Arabidopsis thaliana: one gene and its partners. The protein of the gene in region 4 purifies or fractionates together with the protein of the main gene of each other region. This does not show direct contact. Each region holds a gene or a part of one and is shown on either strand. Other genes may lie near its edges. The genes, in order: LIN2, IMD3, IMD1 and AT5G36210.

The links.
Region 1: the proteins of AT5G36210 (region 4) and LIN2 fractionate together in Arabidopsis thaliana (co-fractionation; one large-scale study listed by BioGRID). This does not show direct contact.
Region 2: the proteins of AT5G36210 (region 4) and IMD3 fractionate together in Arabidopsis thaliana (co-fractionation; one large-scale study listed by BioGRID). This does not show direct contact.
Region 3: the proteins of AT5G36210 (region 4) and IMD1 fractionate together in Arabidopsis thaliana (co-fractionation; one large-scale study listed by BioGRID). This does not show direct contact.

The regions. Positions count from the first base shown.
Region 1 is NC_003070.9:868,326-873,205, reverse strand, and holds LIN2 (Coproporphyrinogen III oxidase), read left to right. Parts: upstream 1-1,897; 5' UTR 1,898-2,030; coding exon 2,031-2,555; intron 2,556-2,634; coding exon 2,635-2,710; intron 2,711-2,798; coding exon 2,799-2,893; intron 2,894-2,978; coding exon 2,979-3,062; intron 3,063-3,243; coding exon 3,244-3,331; intron 3,332-3,423; coding exon 3,424-3,548; intron 3,549-3,653; coding exon 3,654-3,752; intron 3,753-3,835; coding exon 3,836-3,904; 3' UTR 3,905-4,353; downstream 4,354-4,880. Other genes in the region: NAC006 (NAC domain containing protein 6), read right to left, coding at 300-466, 524-761, 813-914, 994-1,332. UniProt on the Arabidopsis thaliana protein: Key enzyme in heme biosynthesis. Catalyzes the oxidative decarboxylation of propionic acid side chains of rings A and B of coproporphyrinogen III.
Region 2 is NC_003070.9:11,141,783-11,146,558, reverse strand, and holds IMD3 (isopropylmalate dehydrogenase 3), read left to right. Parts: upstream 1-1,841; 5' UTR 1,842-1,896; coding exon 1,897-2,291; intron 2,292-2,360; coding exon 2,361-2,472; intron 2,473-2,543; coding exon 2,544-2,708; intron 2,709-2,782; coding exon 2,783-2,869; intron 2,870-2,948; coding exon 2,949-3,065; intron 3,066-3,161; coding exon 3,162-3,269; intron 3,270-3,353; coding exon 3,354-3,560; intron 3,561-3,647; coding exon 3,648-3,716; 3' UTR 3,717-4,098; downstream 4,099-4,776. Other genes in the region: IMPL1 (myo-inositol monophosphatase like 1), read right to left, coding at 1-49, 136-348, 441-493, 559-616, 717-805, 904-1,037, 1,148-1,215, 1,399-1,698.
Region 3 is NC_003076.8:4,574,561-4,579,286, reverse strand, and holds IMD1 (isopropylmalate dehydrogenase 1), read right to left. Parts: upstream 3,165-4,726; 5' UTR 3,068-3,164; coding exon 2,839-3,067; intron 2,752-2,838; coding exon 2,622-2,751; intron 2,542-2,621; coding exon 2,430-2,541; intron 2,346-2,429; coding exon 2,181-2,345; intron 2,104-2,180; coding exon 2,017-2,103; intron 1,939-2,016; coding exon 1,822-1,938; coding exon of another isoform or gene 1,820-1,821; intron 1,733-1,819; coding exon 1,625-1,732; intron 1,544-1,624; coding exon 1,337-1,543; coding exon of another isoform or gene 1,325-1,336; exon of another isoform or gene 1,251-1,324; coding exon 1,176-1,250; 3' UTR 885-1,175; downstream 1-884. Other genes in the region: AT5G14210 (Leucine-rich repeat protein kinase family protein), read left to right, coding at 1-143, 248-273, 351-462, 560-784. UniProt on the Arabidopsis thaliana protein: Involved in both glucosinolate and leucine biosynthesis; catalyzes the oxidative decarboxylation step in both leucine biosynthesis (primary metabolism) and methionine chain elongation of glucosinolates (specialized metabolism).
Region 4 is NC_003076.8:14,247,034-14,255,207, reverse strand, and holds AT5G36210 (alpha/beta-Hydrolases superfamily protein), read left to right. Parts: upstream 1-1,773; 5' UTR 1,774-1,935; coding exon 1,936-2,273; intron 2,274-2,348; coding exon 2,349-2,527; intron 2,528-2,617; coding exon 2,618-2,722; intron 2,723-2,819; coding exon 2,820-2,891; intron 2,892-3,059; coding exon 3,060-3,207; intron 3,208-3,278; coding exon 3,279-3,361; intron 3,362-3,925; coding exon 3,926-3,981; intron 3,982-4,509; coding exon 4,510-4,646; intron 4,647-4,724; coding exon 4,725-4,815; intron 4,816-4,908; coding exon 4,909-4,974; intron 4,975-5,066; coding exon 5,067-5,289; intron 5,290-5,470; coding exon 5,471-5,572; intron 5,573-5,778; coding exon 5,779-5,864; intron 5,865-5,936; coding exon 5,937-6,059; intron 6,060-6,240; coding exon 6,241-6,310; intron 6,311-6,397; coding exon 6,398-6,489; intron 6,490-6,699; coding exon 6,700-6,804; intron 6,805-6,889; coding exon 6,890-7,006; 3' UTR 7,007-7,729; downstream 7,730-8,174. Other genes in the region: CYP81D1 (cytochrome p450 81d1), read left to right, coding at 286-674, 776-1,381.

The DNA of each region.
Region 1 (4,880 bases), on a different chromosome or scaffold from region 4:
AATTTTATAATCTTTGAAAACCAAAAACATTACTTTTAAGTACACAATTGAAATTCATAGCTAAATAGTTAACATTACTGCTGCAACTCTATATTAATTGTAGAGTTATGGAAAAACAAAAGTACAAACTAAAATAAAGTTCGTTAAACTAGAATTTTACCCCGGAAAATCCACTATTTTTATGATATCTCCTTTACCGGAGTTACACAAATACACTAACCATATGTCTATAGTAATCTTTGTCACATATCAACTCAACCCACTAAAATATAATTCTATCCTCTCTGGTTTGTGTCGTATCATTTATCAACCCTAGTTAGATCAATAATCTCATAATTCCCCAATGCGAGGGCATCATTAGGATTGTTTATCAGTACCATCACATCATCTTTTTCTTGCTCTTGAGTAACGTCACAATCTTCTTGACGTTGTTGTTGTTGTTGTTGTTGTTGTTGTTGTTGAGTAACTTCGCGAGATTATTCTCCATCTAGCATCATCGTCTCAAGGTCATCATTAGCAAAACCGGTTAATTCAGCCTCTTCTGGCTGCTCACGATCTTCATGTCCCTCTAGCATCGTCTCAAGGCTATCAGCAAAACCGGTTAAATCAGCATCTTCTGGCTGCTCATGATCTTCTTGTCCCTCTAGCATCGTCTCAAGGCTATCAGCAAAACCGGTTAAATCAGCCTCTTCTTTCTGCTCACGGTCTTCTTGTCCCTCTAGCATCATCTCAAGCTGATCAGCAAAACCGGTTAAAGCATCCTCTTCTTACACTACTTGGTTCCGTAAGATGTTGTTGGTGTTCTCCGCCACCTGAGTCTGATGAGCCTGATGGTTAACGAGTCCAAACTCGTTGACGTTCGCCTCTTTCTTGTATCGGATCCGACACAAGACAACCTTTTGGAGGTCATCACTCTAGTGAAGAGAATACTCCATCTTCTGTCAATCGGTCTTGACAAGCTTTCCATGCACTCTCCTGTGGTACGTGAAAGACTGCTCGTAACCCATCACCCTTTTGCATGTGTCCGTCCTTGATCTCTTTTTTCCCATCGTTGCTTCTCCAAGTGCCGCCTTCGCTTCCTCCTCTTGCGGCTACCTTCCGGTGTACGCTTAATATCTTGCCACCTCGTTCAGTAAGCGGAACAAAGTAGTACCACTCGTTGTTATTGAACAAAGGATTGTTTACGTGAGGAAGAAGCCAAGGGTAGTCTTGGTGGATGTCCATAGTTGTTATGAAACTGCTCTGATTTCTCTCCACCTTGTTTCGAAGATAAAGCCTCACCAACCCTAGATCCGTCGGACAAAACCGTGATCCAACCGGAAGAATCTTCATATCGATCGTATAGATTCGAAGAAGAACTAGCTAAGGTACCTATATAATTGCTAAGGTTAAAAGTGCTCTTTCGTCTCTTGTGTAATACTGCTCTGTGAAGCAGGGTTTTCTTGAATTCCTCGCAGGTCAAGCGGCTGAACTCTCTATATGATCATGAATATATAGACAACGTGATGGGCCCAACCGGATTTTCTTTTGTCAGCGATTAACTATTTTTTGGAAAGAATAAGACGGTTGTAATTACATCTATTTGGTTATTTGAAATAATAATTAGATAGGATTCGAATCTATAATACACTTTTGTTTTGTTTATCACAGATTCTAACGATAGATAAAGATATATTACATGACCATGATTTATCCACATCAAAATAGCATAGTGCCGTAAACCGGCTAATCGTTTTGGGCCTAATTTGGGCAATTAAGCCCGTTAAGAAGGATAAGAGCCTATTGTGTATCAATATCTTCGGTTCGACCAAATTAAACCGCAATTTTAATTTCGTGTCTGGTTTGGTTTCGGCTAAATAATTCAGAAGTGGTTTAGTCTGAGAAGACTGGAACTGTGTTTTCTTTTACCTTGAGCTGTTAAATAAAAAGGAAGAGCGGTCAAAATCAGTGGACGACGAAGACTTCTTATCATTTAATATCTCTCCATCATCATCTTCTTCTTCAGCATCAAATCCAAATTCGGATCAAACATGGCTTCTCACTCGTCGACTCTCCTCTCTTCTCCTACTTTCGCTCCTTTCTCCTCTCATCGTCTTCATTATTCTCCCAATCCCTCTACTCTCAGATTCTCCCGTCCAATCAGAAATAAACCTAATCTCGCCTTGCGATGTTCAGTCTCAATTGAGAAAGAAGTTCCCGAAACTGAACGACCCTTTACTTTCCTTAGGGATTCTGATGACGTCACTCCATCTTCTTCTTCTTCTTCCGTCAGGGCTCGTTTCGAGACTATGATTAGGGCTGCTCAAGACAGTGTTTGTGATGCAATTGAAGCTATAGAAGGCGGTCCTAAGTTTAAAGAAGATGTTTGGTCTCGACCTGGTGGTGGCGGTGGAATCAGTCGTGTGTTGCAGGACGGGAATGTCTTTGAGAAAGCTGGTGTTAATGTCTCTGTGGTTTATGGTGTTATGCCTCCTGAAGCTTATAGAGCTGCAAAGGGCTCAGCTTCTGATCAGAAACCTGGTCCTGTTCCGTTCTTCGCTGCTGGAGTCAGCTCGGTAATGAATCTCTCCCTTCAATTTTACGATTCTTGGAGGTTCTCATGTTTTATCATTACGGATTTCTGTGTGATTCTAGGTTTTGCATCCCAAGAACCCTTTTGCCCCAACCCTGCATTTCAATTATCGCTATTTCGAGACAGATGCTCCAAAGGGTAAAAAAGCTAAAGTCTCAGTGAGATTGTAAAGTTGTTGTCTTTTGTTTGGACAACAGTCTTAAGTTTTTAATTTTCAACGGCGCAGATGTTCCTGGAGCTCCAAGGCAATGGTGGTTTGGTGGTGGCACTGATTTCACTCCTGCTTACATCTTTGAAGAAGATGTCAAGCATTTCCATTCGGTACTGAGCCTTATTCCTTGTTCTAAAGATATGAGCTTTGTGATCATGGAGTTGCTTTTATATAAACTGCTCTTTGTTGTTGTAGATTCAAAAGCAAGCCTGTGACAAATTTGACCCTTCCTTCTATCCCCGATTCAAGAAGTGGTGTGATGACTACTTTTACATCAAGGTAAGTTTTGTGAGATCCTGAAGCATTTTCTGGAACTGAGGGCCTTATTCTTTGAGTTGTGTTTAGGGATGTTATAGTCAAATCTGAGAGGGTAGAAACTGCTTAGAGAGACGTTCAGAAGCCTATTGTTAGTGTGAGGGCTTTGAAAACTTTTCTTAGAAATCTTTGATTTTGCTTGCAGCACCGTGATGAGAGACGAGGACTTGGAGGGATATTTTTTGATGATCTTAATGACTATGATCAGGAAATGCTTCTGTCATTTGCCACTGGTAAGGGACTGATTGTCCTCAATCTACAACAAACGATTTATTTTAATTGGTCTAGTTTCTTGGTAGACTAATTTAGCAATTGGTGTTTACAGAATGCGCAAACTCAGTGGTGCCGGCTTATATACCTATAGTAGAGAAAAGGAAAGACATGGAATTTACAGAGCAGCACAAGGCATGGCAACAGTTGCGACGAGGGCGATATGTCGAATTCAACTTGGTACTATGACCAAAACATTAGTCTTTTTCTCTGTTCTCACTCTCATCTCTCCAATCTTTCGTTATGAACCTTGTTCACTAATGTATTTGTAATGATGGATGGAAGGTATATGATCGGGGAACGACATTTGGTCTGAAGACAGGAGGACGAATAGAGAGCATTCTCGTCTCTCTTCCGCTTTCAGCAAGATGGGAATATGACCATGTAAGTTCTTTCCTCATTTGTGAAGAAACTTGGTCTAAATTCAATTGAATATGGCAATGTAGTAATGGTGTTTGTGAGTGCAGAAACCGGAAGAGGGGACCGAAGAGTGGAAGCTATTGGATGCTTGCATCAACCCGAAGGAGTGGATCTAGCCTGTGTTTCCCATTGTTGTGAGAAGAGTGAGTTTATTTCCATTGTTTCATGTAAGTTTTGAGCAGCTTTAGAGGATTAGATAACTGGAGAGATGGAGAAAGAGAGTGTGTAAGGTCAGGTCAAAATCTAGTCTTGTGATGTGCATGTTAACATCATCTCCTTTCTCTCTTTGCGATGGCAATGAAGACAAACTAAGAGCAGTGTTGTTAAAAGTCAAAACTTACCAATGCAAACAGTTGGTTTCTTGCAAGTTTTGAGCAGCTTTAGAGGATTAGATTACTGAAAAGAAAGTTATACTCTAGCCTTGTGATGTGCATGTTAACATGCGTCTGTTACGCTGTCGTTTCGTTTCTTTCTTTTGCCAATGGCAACGAAGACAACTTGTGCATTCAACTTTTTCACAAGTGACATGCTTATCTACGGACTCTAATCCAAATCCATATCCTCCTTAAGAACCCAAAACAAAAACTTATTGCTCAAAGTGTTGAAATCTGAGCTTTTCCAAAGAGAAGAAACAGTGATCAGCCCAGCCTAATGTAAGCCATTAGGCCTCTTAGTATTTTTTTTTTTTTTTTTTTTTGTCATCAAGCCTCTTAGTGTTAGCTGTCATAATTTCCTTTTTTTTTCATCTCTCTCGTTATTACGCCCTGAATCATTTAATAATCCCCAAATAAAGCAATAAATTTCTATTTTTTGTTTGTTTGTACAGAATTCTATGCAAATCAGTGTATTTTTTTTATGTAGAAATAGTGCTTAACGCCTGTAAGTGTTAATCAATACTTTAATCTATAAATAGGGTACAAATTTAAAATTATTCAAAGACAATAACATCCTTAAAAAGAAAAAAAATAGATTCACTTGTCTTATTGTAAAAAGAGCTAATAATGAAACAAAGCCAAATGAAGAACTAAATATGAGGTTCATCAATTTTTTATATTTACTTTAATATTTTATTTTTCCCGACTACTTTAATGT
Region 2 (4,776 bases), on a different chromosome or scaffold from region 4:
ACTTCCCTCCGTCCATCCGAGTCACAGCTCCTCCAGCTTCCTCAACTATCTGTGTCCATTTTCTGACATGGATTAAGCTCTACAACTTAAGTACTTTAGTAAGAAAAAAACAACAAGAAGGATGAAGAAGACTACAAGAACACCAGCAGCCATGTCCCATGGCTTTAAACGGTACTCCCAATATGATTCCGCAATCCCAAGTGCAACATGACACATGTCAACTGCAGCAGCACCGAGTCTTCGCACTCCCCGACTCACATCAGTAAACTCTTTGAACAGTTCCATGTTAGTGCTCCATGCATCATCATGTTCATAACCAAACCCTGTGATAAGAAGTGCTCTCTCCACCTTCATTCAAACCCGAATAAATATCTAATAAACCAAAACCATTGAACACACCATGTCGAAACTTAAAATTGGATTCTTGATAAGTTACTTACAGCATCGGTCTTACTGACATGAATTTTTTGCCCGTTACACAATGCTCCACCACCTAAGAAGTGAACTAGTTAGACAAAATTTAGATATATAGCCAAACATAAGCTTGTCACATAGTACCTGCAGTTGCAGAAAAGGTTCGAGTGTTCCAGCACATCGGACCACCGACAAACTCTACCTGCATGATGAGATTTTGTTGTTAATCCTACTGACCAAAGAATCAGCAAATAGGAACTAACAAGCATTAGCTGGTTTGTGCAAGTATATATTGGATTTACCACAGAAGCAGCGGCGGGATTTCCACGATACAGAACACCGACGGAAACAGCAAAACTGGGATATCCATGAGCAAAATTTGTAGTTCCATCTATGCATAAAGGAATTAAGAGACTAATACTAAAAATCTCAGAGATTCCACACAAACACATGAAAAGAAAGCAATGAGATTTGTAAAGAGAGCTAAACCTAGAGGATCAATGCACCAGAGGTAATCAGAAGACGAATCGCCGATGATACCTCCTTCTTCACCAAGAATAAGATGATCACTAAAATTCTTCTTCACTACTTCCAAAATAGCAGCCTCGCTTGCTTTATCAGTACTGCAAATTCATCAAAAGTACTAAAACTTTAATAGCTTCAACCAATCAAGTCAACATGAACATAGTTAAAACCTCAAGCTAACAATTTTAAAAGGTGAAGAAGTCCTTACTCAGTTACTAAGTCACTGAGACCTTTATAAGTAATATTCCTTGGCTTATTTACAGCTTCCATAACCACCTAACAAACCAGATGATTCAATTCAAGTTAGTTTTGTTATTATTCTCCTTGTGCAGTTGTGCCCTACGAACCCAAGAACTTGATTCTAGTACCATTGAACACAATTTCAAGTCTCATCAAGAGTTTTTGTTTCCAATAAACATAAATTCAGATATTGTATTCTACAGACATGAAATTTCGAACCTCAGCGCCGGTTTTAGCGGCGAGTTCAACGACTTCAAGGAGGTGTGCCGGAGATATAGTTCCGGTGGTTTTAGCGCCGATTCTGGGATATCGCGTCTGATCAGAAACCTCAGACAGAACAGCTTTGGTTTGAAGTCTCGTTGTGGACTTGAAGCTATTAGACAAAATCCTCGTACACCGATATCGGAAAGTTCTGTTCACTGTCCGGCCTGAAATTGGGTTTTGCAGCGGAAGAGATGATCTGGGTAAGTGAGAGATTCTCAATGACATGTTTCCAGAGAATATTAGAGACCTTCCCATTGTTGGTGTCGCCGGAGAATTTTCGAATTTTTGTTGTTGTTCGGTTTTTGGTTTATATGAACGCGGCCAAGTGAACGGATGGTGGACATGAGAGAGTCCAAAAAGCTGATAGAACTTAAAATTGAAATTAATGAGAACATTGAACCAAAATCAGGTTAACAAATAACCAGAGATAACCGGTCTCTGTAGTATACTCAAATGGTTAGTTTTTGCCGATGGTGGTGCCCTAAACTCGAAAAAAAGATGGCGGCGTTTTTGCAAACTAACATCCGTCTGGAGATCATACCGGGAAGATACAGTTCTCTCACCGATCATAAGTTTCGTGCGCCGTATCGAATTAGGTGCGCCGCCGCTTCACCGGTGAAAAAACGGTATAACATCACTCTGCTTCCCGGCGATGGTATCGGTCCAGAAGTTATATCTGTTGCTAAGAATGTGCTTCAGAAAGCTGGATTTCTCCAAGGACTAGAGTTTGATTTCCAGGAGATGCCTTTCGGCGGAGCAGCTTTGGATTTGGTCGGAGTTCCATTGCCGGAGGAAACTTCCACTGCTGCTAAACAGTCTGATGCCATTCTTCTTGGAGCTATCGGAGGGTATGTGTAATGCGTGTGTGTGTTGTTTCTTCAGCAAATTTATTCTCTTTATGATGATTTTTTGTTCAGGTACAAATGGGACAAGAATGAGAAACATCTGAGACCTGAGATGGGTCTGCTTAACATTCGAAGAGATCTCAATGTCTTTGCTAATTTGAGACCTGCTACAGTTTTACCACAGGTATTGATTTGCTTATCACTTTGCTTTCTAGTTGTAAATATACTCAAATTTTTCTGTTTTTGCTTGTTCAGCTAGTTGATGCTTCCACACTGAAGAAAGAAGTAGCACAAGGTGTTGATATGATGATTGTAAGGGAGCTCACTGGAGGTATTTACTTTGGAGAGCCAAGAGGCATTACGATCAACGAAAATGGCGAAGAAGTCGGTTTTAATACAGAGATCTACGCTGCTCACGAGGTACTACTTACTCTTCACAATCTGCTGCTCTGTGACAATGTATGTGTATTAATGCATTGCTTTATCTTCTTCAGATTGACAGAATTGCTCGTGTTGCATTCGAGACTGCTAGGAAAAGGCGTGGCAAGCTGTGTTCTGTTGACAAAGCCAATGTCTTGGATGTATGTTTTGAATTGTTTTTCCACTCCACTCTTGTGTGTTTTTCGTTATACAATTATTTTTTTGTTTTGTTTCGTATAGGCATCAATATTGTGGAGGAAAAGAGTAACAGCTTTAGCCTCTGAATATCCAGATGTTGAACTATCACATATGTATGTCGATAATGCTGCGATGCAGCTTGTCCGTGACCCGAAACAGGTGATCTTCGCGCATATATAAAGCTTAGCCGTTGATTAAGCTAACACAGAAGTGGAACTTGTAGTACTCACGGCATTTTTAAAAACATTATTGCAGTTTGACACAATCGTCACCAATAACATTTTTGGTGATATATTGTCTGATGAAGCTTCAATGATCACTGGTAGCATTGGGATGCTTCCATCTGCAAGTCTTGGTGAATCGGTAAGTAAGACTAAATCTAATATTTCAAGGTTCCTCTGTTTATTATTATCATATATTGATTGTTAAACTTGTGATGAAAACTAGGGACCTGGACTCTTTGAACCTATACATGGTTCAGCACCAGATATAGCTGGACAAGACAAGGCAAACCCATTGGCCACCATTCTCAGTGCGGCGATGCTTCTCAAGTATGGACTTGGAGAAGAAAAGGCTGCAAAGATGATTGAAGACGCGGTCGTGGATGCTCTGAACAAAGGTTTCAGAACCGGAGACATCTACTCCCCCGGAAATGTATGTGTATGATGATTTCTGTCTTTTGTTTTGTATAAGTTAATGACAATATACTTAAAGAAGTCTTTTTGTGTTTTGAAAATGCAGAAACTGGTGGGATGCAAGGAAATGGGTGAGGAGGTTCTCAAATCAGTGGACTCCAAAGTTCCTGTTTAAGAAAAGTGTGTAGCCCTTGGTTTTACTGTTACTTTTTTGCTAATACATGTATTAGAAACTGTATTCTTGTAGCTTTTATAATAATAAAATATTTGGGATCGATTCTGCAATTCAAAGACAAAATTCTCCAAGAACATTTGACAAGTCTCCTGCCTCAGTACCTTGTTCTTGAAGATTGAGAAGTTCTCGCCAACTACAAAACTCAACATCTTCTTCAATCAATATTTGTTAAACGAATAAAGTTTCAAGAGAGACAAGAAACTATGTTTTTTAGCCGCTAGAGTATTACATTTTTCTACTGAAAAACCAAACTTATAAAACATAACATTTATAAATCCGAAAACAACTATCAATCATCAGGTTAGCCTTTGGATTCACGACGACTTATCAGATTTGCGTTCAGCGTCTGCGGCAGACTGCATTTGAGCTGCATATGGTAAGTTCCAGAGAACATCTTTAAAGGAAGTCTTGCAGAAGGTTCAAGCAAAACACATTTATTGGCGATTGAGATGGCAATTGGGTAAAGACTCCTGCGAGCTTGTTGTTAGGACCGTTGGACTTCCTATTTTCTGTCGACAGTCTTGGCTCCCAAATGACGTCTGCAAATACAACATTGCAGCAACAGCTATTAACAATGATGAAGATTTGCTTCTTTTCTTTACCCTATATGATACCATTTCGTTGAGAAGATAGGCCTCTCCTTTTTGTAGTAGGTACTGGTCCTATCAGAGATTCCAGAAGTATGAATCCAAAGTTGTACACATCGCCCTCTGTTTTAGCCATTTTCCTGCATAATTCCAAAGCTAAGAAACGTGATGAATCGAAATCGTCTGTGGCTTCCTTTAACTCTTCAAAAGAAAATGACCGGAATGAGGGCACACCTTGTGCACCTAGCTTTGCTGCTTGAGAGATTAACCCTGCAAGACGAAGTCGTACAAGGATATTAAATTCCTGAAAGACAATTGCCACCAGGCGGAGGTCTACAATTTGAGTCAAAGTTACTCACTTGCACTAGCAAGAACTTCGGAGGAGAGACTGGTGTGTGAGTTATCTCTGTCAC
Region 3 (4,726 bases), 9.7 Mb from region 4:
TTCATTTTCTTCACACCGGTGTAATGCCTGGTTCATTCAACAATCAGCTTAAGACTAACAATATTTTGCTTGACGAACACAAGATTGCAAAGCTCAGTGACTATGGAGTCTCTGCCATCATTGAAGAGAACGAAAAGCTTGAGGTTTGCTCTATTTACTCTCTTTCACTGTGTTTATCTTCATTTTGTATGATCTTCTTTGACACTAACTCAGGACTCTACTTTACTCCTGCTTCTACATTTTGCAGACAAAGTCAGAAACCCACAAGTCAAAGTATGCATCTTTTGTCCTTGTATAGCAAAACTCCATGGCATTTATGAGAATCTAATCCAAACTTTGAGATTATGCAGGAAAAAGGCTAAAAGAGAGGACGATGTGTACAACTTCGGATTCATACTTCTGGAATCTCTGATAGGACCAGTGCCCACTACAAAAGGAGAGGCTTTTCTTCTCAACGAAATGGTAACAAAGAGAAAAAGCAAAAAAAAAAAGCATCATCATTGTTATTTGATTGAAACAAATTTGGTTAATAGCTGTTGCTGCAATGTTGTGTTTGCAGACATCATTTGGGAGCCAAGACGGTCGGCAGAAAATAGTAAGTCCAACAGTCCTAACAACAAGCTCGCAGGAGTCTTTATCGATTGCGATCTCAATCGCCAATAAATGTGTTTTGCTTGAACCTTCCGCAAGACCTTCCTTTGAAGATGTTCTCTGGAACTTACAATACGCAGCTCAAATGCAGTCTGCCGCAGACGCTGAACGCAAATCTGATACGTCGTCGTGAATCCAAAGGCTAACCTAATGATTGATAGTTTTTTCGGTTTTCTAAATGTAAAGCTCTATAAGTTTGGTTTTCAGTATAAAAATGTAAGACTCTTGAGACTAAAAATCATAGTAGCTTGTCTTCTCTTGAAACTTATTTCGTTAAACAAATATTGATTGAAGAAGATATTGAGTCTTGTAGTTGAAGAGAAATTCTCAATCTTCAAGAACAAGGTAAGTAAAGGCAGGAGACCTGTCAAATGTTTTTGGAGAATCTTGTCTTTGAATTGCAGAATCGATCCCAAATAATTTATTTATTATAAAAGGTACAATGTTGCATGGATTAGCATATAAGTGACCGTAAAACCAAGTGCTACACAAACTTTTTCAAGTGCTTCAAATCATCAATAAACTTAAACAGTAGCTGGAACTTTGGATTCCACTGATTTGAGAACCTCCTCACCCATTTCCTTGCATCCCACCAGTTTCTGCATTTTCAAAACACAAAAGACTTTTTTAAGTATTTTGTTACGAACTTGTACAAAACAAATGATAAGAATCATCATGCACATACATTTCCAGGGGAGTAGATGTCTCCGGTTCTGAACCCTTTGTTCAGAGCATCCACGACAGCGTCTTCAATCCTCTTTGCAGCCTTTTCTTCTCCAAGTCCATACTTCAGAAGCATCGCCGCGCTGAGAATGGTGGCCAATGGGTTTGCCTTGTCTTGTCCAGCTATATCTGGTGCTGAACCATGTATAGGTTCAAAGAGTCCAGGTCCCTGATTTCATCACAAGTTTAACATTTCGCATTAGTTTATAAACAGGAGGAGCCTTGAAAGATGTTAGTTAATTTTGTTTACCGATTCACCGAGACTAGCAGATGGAAGCATTCCAATGCTTCCAGTGATCATTGAAGCTTCATCAGACAATATATCACCAAAAATGTTATTGGTAACGATTGTGTCAAACTGCATTGTTTTAAAAACACCGTGAGTACTAGTTCCACTTCTGAGTTAGCTTAATCAACGACTAAGTTTGATATATGTGCGAGAAGCACCTGTTTCGGGTCACGAATAAGCTGCATTGCAGCATTATCGACATACATATGTGATAGTTCAACATCTGGATATTCAGAGGCTAAAGCTGTTACTCTTTTCCTCCACAATATTGATGCCTACATGAAACAAAGAAATTTGCATTTCGTAAAACACACAAAAGTGGAAAAACAATTCAGTGAACTAACAGAACGTACATCCAACACATTGGCTTTGTCAACAGAACAAAGTTTGCCACGCCTTTTCCTAGCAGTCTCGAATGCTACACGAGCAATTCTGTCAATCTGAAGAACATAAATCAATGCATTAATATCCATACATTGCCAATATTGTCACAGAGCACAGTGTGAAGGGTTATTACCTCGTGAGCAGCGTAGATCTCTGTACTAACGCCGACTTCTTCGCCATTTTCATTGATCGTAATGCCTCTTGGCTCTCCAAAGTAAATACCTCCTGTGAGCTCCCTAACAATCATCATATCAACACCTTCTGCTACTTCTTTCTTCAGTGTGGAAGCATCAACTAGCTGAACAAGCAAAACAGAAACATTTGAGTTTATTTACAACTAGAAGCAAAATTCAAGTGCTAAGCAAATCAAAACCGAAGATACCTGTGGCAAAACTGTAGCAGGTCTCAAATTAGCAAAGACTTTGAGATCTCTTCTAAGGTAAAACAGAGCCATCTCAGGTCTCAGATGTTTCTCATTCTTGTCCCATTTGTACCTGAACAATAATCATCCAAACCTCAAGATCAGAATAAATTTGGAAGCAGATTGCTAAAGAAACAGCACTCACACACATACCCTCCAATAGCTCCAAGAAGAATGGCATCAGATAGTTTTGCAGCCGTGAAAGTTTCCTCCGGCAATGGAACTCCAACCAAATCCAAGGCTGCTCCTCCGACAGGCATCTCCTTGAAATCAAACTCCAGTCCTGTGATACAAAAGCAAAGACACAATCATCTACTGGCTAAGCAAACACACTCGTTGTTTCCAAAAACCATTGAGAAAGAGAAAGAACCTTCGAGAGATCCAGCTTTCTGAAGCACATTCTTAGCAACAGAGATAACTTCTGGACCGATACCGTCTCCGGGAAGCAGAGCGATGTTATACCGTTTTTTCCCAGGTGAAGCGGCGGCGCACCTAATTCGATACGGCGCACGAAACTGATGATCGGTGAGAGAACTGTATTTCCCCGGGACGATCTTGATCGCATTCAGACTGATGTTCGTTTGCAAAAACGCCGCCATTTTTTTTGGGAGTTAGCAAATTTGAAATTGTGTCACAATAGTTATATAACATAAAGAGTTTGGTACTTAGATAGGTGTGCACGTTTTTTGAATTACGCCATTAAAGATTTGTTTTTTTAAATGGCTTAAATTATCCTTTTTACCTATAAACTGGCTCACCAGCTAAACCATGCCATTGCTTGTTTAGGAAAAGAAGAAGAAGAAGCGCCACTATAATTGGGCCTTTACCAAAGATTGGCCCATTTTAAAGTCGAAATATTGGGCCGCTCTTATAGCCCATCAAAGTACCAGGAGAAGTTCTTAAAAGTTAAAACGTAGTAGTAGAGGAACAATAACGGCTGATTATTTAATTTTATGATCGGATATTCGGATTTTGTCAAATCGTCTGGTTAGTCCAAGGATGAACACGAACTGTTTTTAACATAATACTTCTATAACAAAAATAAATTTAAAGTAACTAAATTAAAGCCTAAATGACCAAAGATTCTTAAATATTTGCAAAAAACAGAAACGAAAGGCGAGGCAAATCCACCACACCACGTGAGAGTTATGACCAATTTTTGATGTTTTCTGAATATGATACGTATCATAAAAAGTGTGTTCATACTTCATAGGGGATAGGGATAATAGTATAATACTATATTGTTGAAGTGTGGACACACAAATAATATGAAAGCAAGACTTTGTATATAAATTATTTGGAACATTGTGTACCCCCAAATTATTAATCATTATCCAAATTTAGCATGTCTCGAGGTTTTTTTTCTTTTTTTTGTATTTTTGACTACCGGACACTGTGTGCATGCAGGGTGTGAAACGAAAGCGTACCGATGTAGAATTTTTTTTTTTTTTTTCTTTCTTCTTTGAGTTCGAGAAGAAACAAGTAACGGAAACTGATGTCATAGTCCATTTATCCGTCCCTACAGCATCTACAATCGCCTTTAACAGTTTCTTCTTTCGTCCTATCTTCTTTTTATCACTCCACATTAAAACAAAATGATATTATTACAACATTTGTATGATTTTTTTAAATATATTTTTTGCTTATGAGTTATTATAGATCTCAGGAATTTAACATTTTTCTTTTCTTAATTTTGTTTAGATTGCCTTGCTAGTTGCTATTACTATTCACTCATTAAATTAATGTGTATATATAGGATATGAAATTGTCTCCATCAAGTTTTGTGTTTTATATATCTAGGCTGTGTAATCGATACAAATATACAAACCAGAGATCTTGTTTTTAAAAAAAATTAGTCAGCTCTTTTCTAGACTAAGCTATTGGATGTATCTCCTTTACTATTCTTTTCTTCACATTGAAAACATATGGAAGTACTTTTATTATCATGAGATCTTCTATTTTTTTTTTTCTCTTTTATAAAGATTATTTTCCATTCATCTCAGTTCCACGTATTATTTTAAATGTTTATCATAATAACCTCGCTCTCTCAAAAAAGTTAGAAATCATGGCATGGTCACACTGATCATCCCTCCACTTATATATAGAAACTTTAGTAAATGTTGTATCGACGATAGCAGTGGATGATTCACCACTTCTAGAAACTATTCATAAATGCTTGTCTTATTTTTTGTGCATGATTCAATTCTTAATTTATGTTTACACACCATAAATTGTTTTTTTTTCTAAATAAGTTTTTG
Region 4 (8,174 bases):
TGTGTTTTTTTCATCGTCGTGAAGTTTGTTGATAAAGACTAGTCAACTTTTCAATTTTTTTTGGTGTTATTTAAGTGCTAATTATATTGACCACTGAGTCTTTGTGGGCGTCAATCGTACCATGAAGATTTCTTAAAACTCTTTTACTTTTAGAACGTTTTACGTCAATATTTTTAGAATAGAGATTTCTAAAAACATTTTACAAAGTAATGAAGAAAAGCTCGACTACTCTATTTTTGGTTCTCGTTTGGTTCTCGATTTTCCTTTTTCTTTTAATAATTGCAGGAACCAAAAAAACTGTTGTGGAATTGAAACCAATGCTTATGGACTTGACATTCAACAACATAATGAGAATGATGACCGGAAAACGATACTACGGTGAAGAAACAACCGATGAGGAAGAAGCAAAGCGTGTCCGTAAGTTGGTAGCAGATGTTGGGGCTAACACGAGTTCAGGCAACGCCGTTGACTACGTCCCCATCCTCAGACTGTTTTCAAGTTATGAAAATAGGGTTAAAAAGTTAGGAGAGGAGACAGATAAGTTTTTACAAGGTCTCATTGACGATAAACGTGGGCAACAAGAAACCGGTACTACAATGATCGATCATTTGCTTGTCCTCCAAAAATCTGATATTGAGTATTACACTGATCAAATCATCAAAGGCATCATACTGGTTTATTTCTTCTTCCTTTATTTTTTCTATTAATTATTAGATCTTTTGTTAACTTTGATTATAAGTAAGATAAATTGTCTGATGTTATTATGTTAATGCAGATAATGGTAATAGCAGGGACTAACACATCAGCAGTCACTCTAGAATGGGCACTTTCCAATTTGCTTAACCATCCTGACGTAATATCTAAAGCGAGAGACGAAATCGATAACCGGGTTGGTTTAGACCGGCTTATCGAAGAAGCAGATCTTAGCGAGCTACCATATCTAAAGAACATTGTCCTTGAGACCCTTAGGCTACACCCAGCTACACCATTGCTAGTCCCACACATGGCATCAGAAGATTGCAAGATAGGATCCTACGATATGCCACGTGGTACAACGTTGTTGGTGAATGCATGGGCCATACATAGGGATCCAAACACGTGGGATGATCCGGATAGCTTTAAACCAGAGCGGTTTGAGAAAGAAGAGGAAGCACAAAAGCTTCTGGCGTTTGGATTAGGTAGAAGAGCGTGTCCTGGATCGGGTCTGGCCCAACGAATCGTGGGACTAGCTCTCGGGTCATTGATACAATGCTTTGAATGGGAGAGAGTTGGGAATGTGGAAGTGGATATGAAGGAAGGAGTTGGGAATACTGTACCCAAAGCGATTCCTTTGAAAGCTATTTGCAAAGCTCGTCCATTTCTACATAAGATTATTTCCTAAAATTGTTGAAACTACGAATAAAAGATGTGTGACATGTTAATGCAAATCAATGATTCTCTCTACATGTAAAATCTTGATGGATTATTATGGCTATCTTAATTATTTTTAATAAGTGTTACTAGCAGATTTATAGAAAAGCAATCGAGTATTATAAGAAAAGTAAACGGCTTCTAGAGGGACTATGACCGTTTAGGCCAAGGAAGTTTGAGGCAATAACAGGTCTGTGATGTCCTTAAATGTTCTGAGTCACACGCGCGCTACACTAATGTATTCAACGAGTTCACACTTTGGCCGACAGACCCGGGTAACTTTTGAAATTTCATCGTAATGAGGATAGATCATTGTAATTGTTGGTTTCCAACGAGGAATTCTTAGTAAGCGCGAGTCATCAGCTCGTGTTGACTACGTCCATGCCCTTTGTACAAACAGTCCGTTGCTCCTACCGATTGAATGATCTGGTGAAGTGTTCGGATCGCGGCCACTTGGATGACCCAAAAAAACATATAATTCAAAAACCTATAGCGAAAACAAGCAAAGAGTGGATGAGTAAATAAATGGCATTGTTGTTGTTGACCTCACTCAATCACCTAGTCTCATTCTCACTCACTCGCTTGCCTTCTTCTTCCGCTCACAATCTCTTCCTTTCTCGTTCCTTCTCTTCTTCGATCAGACGATTCAATCGCTTCTCACTCAAACCACTTCGCTCCTTCGCATCCATGTCTTCTTCTTCCCCCGACGCTGCTCAGACTCCTCTAACCACCGCTCCTTATGGCTCCTGGAAATCTCCAATCACCGCCGACATCGTTTCCGGAGCTTCAAAGCGTCTTGGCGGCACCGCCGTCGATTCTCATGGCCGTCTCGTCTTGCTCGAGTCTCGCCCTAACGAATCCGGGTATTACTTCTTCTTCTTTTGATTGATTTTGAAAATGAAAACCCTAATTTGATTGCGAGCTTGATATGATTGAAGGAGAGGAGTTTTGGTGCTACAAGGAGAAACATCAATTGATATTACTCCAAAAGACTTCGCTGTGAGAACTTTAACACAAGAATACGGTGGTGGTGCTTTCCAGATTTCATCAGATGATACACTTGTGTTCTCTAATTACAAGGATCAGCGATTGTACAAGCAAGACATTACTGATAAAGGTGATAGATAACCTCTTCACTGATTCTAGCTATGTAAATTTCTTGTTGGCAAGTTCTGATGTTGTTTGTTTTGATGGTTGATGTGTGTAGATTCATCTCCAAAGCCAATTACTCCAGATTATGGTACACCAGCTGTTACTTATGCAGATGGAGTCTTTGATTCACGCTTTAACCGTTATGTTACTGTTAGGGAAGGTTGGTTTGTCTCTAGTGTTTAGTATTGGTGACTCTCTTGATGTTTGATTGTGTTTTTATCGAGATTTACATGTTATTGTTTGACTGGTGTTTATAGATGGTCGCCAGGATAGATCAAACCCAATTACAACAATCGTGGAGGTTAATCTAAGTGGAGAGACACTTGAAGGTAGATTATCAAACTTTAGTGAAAGAAGTATTCTTACTCCCATTGAAAGAGTCTATAGGGGATGTGAGTTATGTCAGTAGTGCCATGTAGTACATGTTTCTAAGTTTCCAACTTATTACAGCTGATCATTGACACTCATATGTGTTCTTTCTGATATTTGAGATCCAGAACCAAAAGTACTCGTAAGTGGCAATGATTTCTATGCATTTCCACGGTTGGATCCCAAGTGTGAGCGATTGGCATGGATTGAATGGAGTCACCCTAATATGCCATGGGATAAAGCAGAGCTGTGGGTTGGGTACATTTCCGAGGGCGGGTAAGCATTTGCAATTTTTTTCAAATGCTTTGCATATTGCAAATATTAATCAAAGTTACACCCTTCTGCAGAAATATTGATAAGCGCGTATGTGTTGCTGGTTGTGATCCCAAATACGTCGAATCACCCACTGAGCCGAAGTGGTCATCAAGAGGTATTTGTCTTAAATGAAAAATATGCAGAAAATTACAAGGATTGTGAAATCCTCTGGGAAAAGATTGATTTGCAGTTCTTAGACACTGACCTTGGATTTCTGACTTTCTATTTGTTTCATACTTTTAGCAGTTGAGCTTTTCTTATAAGTTTTTTCTGTTTTGGATGAAACTAGGGTCTTCTCCATAAAATGATATTCTTTTTCTCTCTGCTCTCTTGTTGTTTCCGCTCTTTGCATTCATCTTTCTTCTTCTAACCAAGTGACAAGGACTGTGAATTTTACTGAGAAAAAGGTTGATCTACAAATTCCTTGCATATGCTTCTTATCTTTATAATTTTTAGCTATTAAAAACTCCTTGGCTGAAACTAGAGTCTTTTAATGGATGTCATCATGATAGTTCTCTGATATGAACCTTCACGTATCATTCTCCAAACCATTAGATGTTTTACTGGAGCTCTAAAATTGGTGAATAAATTATATTTTTTCATATTGTAATTAAGCCTGTCAAGCTTTAGTATTTCTCATAGGTTCCATTGACCTGAGACTCTCTGACTTATCGTGCAGGGGAACTCTTTTTTGTAACTGACAGAAAGAATGGATGTTGGAATATTCATAAATGGGTAAACATTCTTCACATTTGCCAATTATAGCCACATTTGGTAAATTCCATAGTGTGCTTTTGCTCTATAATGCTGAGAATTAGTTTTAGATTTGAAATAGGGATAGTAGTTTTTTAGTCACTTATGAAAGCATAGAGGAAACATTTTTTCTTGGCTTTTTACGAACTTCACTAGACAGATTTTAAAATTCAAACCTTTGTTCTCGGAGAAGATTGTAGTCTCATTCTTTCAAAATTATCTATAAAAAAAAAGCCACATAATGTTTGAGTTTTGTTACATTAGACACATACTGTTTGAGTTTTGTTTTTGGCTTACCATATACATCCCAAATGGTAGCTGTTTGTTTTGTTAGTTGTATTAATTGCTAAGTTCTTAGAACTCTTGGGTAGAGACTGATATGTGGCCACCAACTTGAAGCTTTTCTTAAATCTACTTGGTGCACAAAGAAATTCCCAATGTAGGACACATGTTTACTGTTGACTACCTTGTTCCTTATTTAATTTTTTCCTCTTTCTCGATGTGTCACAGATTGAGAGTACCAATGAGGTTGTTTCTGTATATCCTCTCGACGGTGAGTTTGCGAAACCACTATGGATTTTCGGTACTAACTCCTACGAGATAATCGAGTGTTCTGAAGAGAAGAACCTAATTGCATGCAGCTATAGGTAATACCAAAATTCAAATACTTTCAACCATTTTCTGATTTACCTGTTTTGATAACAATTTATTGTTCCTGAATGCAGGCAGAAAGGGAAGTCATATCTAGGCATTGTAGATGATTCACAGGGATCATGTTCTCTGCTCGATATTCCTTTAACGGATTTTGACAGCATTGTAATATTTATTTTTCTGTAGTTTTTGCAAAACCATTTCAATTGATTCCCAATTGAATCTGAAAGTAATGAGAAATTGTGCTTCCATTTTCAGACATTGGGAAATCAGTGCCTTTATGTTGAGGGAGCATCAGCAGTTCTTCCACCATCAGTTGCCAGGGTAAAAATGATTCCTATTTAAGGTTTTAGCTGAGCACAAGTTGTCTAATATAAAAGTAGTAGCAGTAGATTTATAATTTCCCCTATCAACAGGTAACACTGGATCAGCATAAGACGAAAGCACTCAGTTCTGAGATTGTTTGGTCGTCGTCACCCGATGTTTTGAAGTACAAGGCTTACTTCAGCGTGCCAGAGTTGATTGAATTTCCAACAGAGGTTCCTGGTCAGAACGCTTATGCATACTTTTATCCTCCAACCAATCCGCTCTACAATGCTAGCATGGAAGAGAAACCTCCGTTGTTAGTGAAGAGTCATGGTATGTTAAACTTACGACATCCCGATTTTTCAAAACTTAATCAAAATAATTCCTCAGTTTCAGTCTTGTTCATCTTAAGATCATGTTTTCGTTTCAAGTATGTACTTTAGCTGTAACATAAATATTGCAATCAGCTATGCATGGCACATCGATCATTTTTGTTGACAATCTGAATCTACAGGAGGACCTACTGCTGAATCACGTGGATCCTTAAATCTGAATATCCAATACTGGACAAGTCGAGGTTGGGCATTTGTTGATGTCAATTATGGTGGAAGCACAGGTTTGTTCTTATGGTTCCAAGTTGTTTCTTCTACTTTACCTACAAGTTCCCATAATTCGCTACAGTTGTACGGTTGCATCTTTTCATCTTTATAGTTAGTCTTGCTAAAGTATTTCGTCTTGAGATTTCTTGGTTACGATGTCCCATTCTCACCATGTGGGCACACACGTGGGTTTATTGTGACAAAGTGTAACATTATTTTGAAGGTTATGGTCGAGAGTATCGAGAGCGGTTGTTAAGGCAGTGGGGAATAGTCGACGTTGATGACTGTTGTGGCTGTGCTAAATACTTGGTATGTTCTTTCTTCGCCTATTTTATGTGAACGACTTTGAAAGCATTTCCTAAACTTTTTTGGTTTGGGCAGGTATCTTCTGGCAAGGCAGATGTTAAGCGGCTCTGTATATCTGGCGGTTCTGCAGGAGGTTACACAACTCTTGCATCATTGGCGTTCAGGGATGTTTTCAAAGCTGGAGCGTCCTTATACGGAGTGAGTACAGAATCATTGCATCAGTGAAAAACATTTAGCTAAATGAATTCTAGCCTTATCTTTATATATTGTGATACTATTTCACAATCCACCGAATTCTCTTCAAATGCATGATGCAGGATGAATACCTTATAAACAACTGATAATTCATAGAAGTTTGGATTGGCTTTTCTTAACGCAGGTGGCTGATTTAAAAATGTTGAAAGAAGAAGGTCATAAATTTGAATCCCGTTATATCGACAATCTTGTTGGTGAGTCAAATGCATTGAAGAAAGCATTTATCTTTGCTTTTTGTTTTTGTAAATCGGTTACCAAAATTCTTGAGTATGTAATTGCAGGAGATGAAAAAGATTTCTATGAGAGATCACCAATCAATTTCGTCGATAAGTTCTCTTGTCCCATCATCCTTTTCCAAGGACTAGAAGACAAGGTTCTTATATTTTCCGCTCTTGGTTTATTCTTTTGTTTTGTTGGCAGTTCTTGAATGCATCTAGTAACAGAAGTCTTAACTAGATTTATCATATTCTGGATTCTTGATAGTTTTTAAATTCGAGATTTGGTTATCCATTTGCGAAGACAATGTCTTTCACTTCTATACGAAATTCTTAACGATTGGTTTAAAATGCTGAAAAAATTGCAGGTTGTAACTCCAGATCAATCACGTAAAATCTATGAAGCATTAAAGAAAAAAGGTCTGCCTGTTGCTCTTGTCGAGTACGAAGGAGAACAACACGGTTTTCGCAAGGTAAGGCTTTTGATCACTTGCATTAATAATAACAAGTCATAAGGATTAACAGTGGATTACTTTACTTATATACATTGATTAACAGGCGGAAAACATCAAATACACACTTGAGCAACAGATGGTGTTCTTTGCCCGAGTGGTTGGAGGGTTCAAAGTTGCTGATGACATCACTCCTTTGAAAATTGACAACTTCGACACTTAGAAAACGATGCTTAAATAGATATGTTTGGAAAAGATTTGCTTTTTTTTTATTATTTAGAGAAAATACATGCTTGGACTAACGTTTTCGGATAATTTGTTCATCAAAAGTCCAAAACCTTCTATATTCACTAGAATGGGAATGCCTAGGAGGTGGCTCGGCAAATAACCACAGTGTTAAGGTCAATGTTGGTTTGGGCCAATGTTGCTTAACGTATGTCTTTTCAGCTTTAGTCATTATCATCGAAATGGTTGATGAAGCTGTCAGTGATATGATATCGGTAGTTGGTATTACAAATACGATATCAGTATGGGCCTTGTCTTCTTCGATGCACCATTCAGGACAAATCGTTAAGTCTTTGATCCTTGTTTGCTGCTAATTGCTCTCCAATACTTCGCCACAGGTTTACTACCGTTGAAGCAACAAAGTACTCCAAAATTGTATTCTTGCATGTAGTTGTAAGGGGTGATTGGCTACTGACTTTCAAGACTTTAAAAGTAGGCTGAAGTCTTTTTTTTTTGCCAATTAGGCTTTTTCTACTTAATTTTTTTTGTAAGTTCTCAAAGTCTTTTTTATTTTTTCTTCTTTATTCTCTTTCTTTTTTAAAGCCTCATAAACTAGATTTTCAATTTTTCTTATTTTTTCTCCTAATAAATTATTAAAAGTTTTTTTTAATCTTCTCCCCAAAACAATTAAAACTTCTCTACAAGTTTACATGTACTTTTTCACAAAATACTTTTAATAAATTAATTATTATCAATTTTCTACCTTTTTTCTAAGATCCATTTCACTAATAATTATTTTATTTTTCATCATTACCATTAATTGAGTGTAAAAAAGTTATAGAATTAGTATTTTTTCTTGGTGCACAAAACAAAAACAAATTCGTATTTTAAAATAATATATACATTTCTCATATGTCATTCAATTATTTTATTAATTGCTTCATTATTATCCTATTTACTAATGTGTTTGGATATTAAATTTTGGTATGAAACAATAAATATTAATAAATATGTTTATTTAGAAAAAAAAATTCTAAACATTTGTCATTTATTTTAAATAAAGATTTTATTAATTAATAATTTTATTTTTAAAGACTAACTTTTAAATGCAATGTTTGGTTATTAAAAAATAAATGAACAATATATGTTTAGTTTATTTCTTCAGA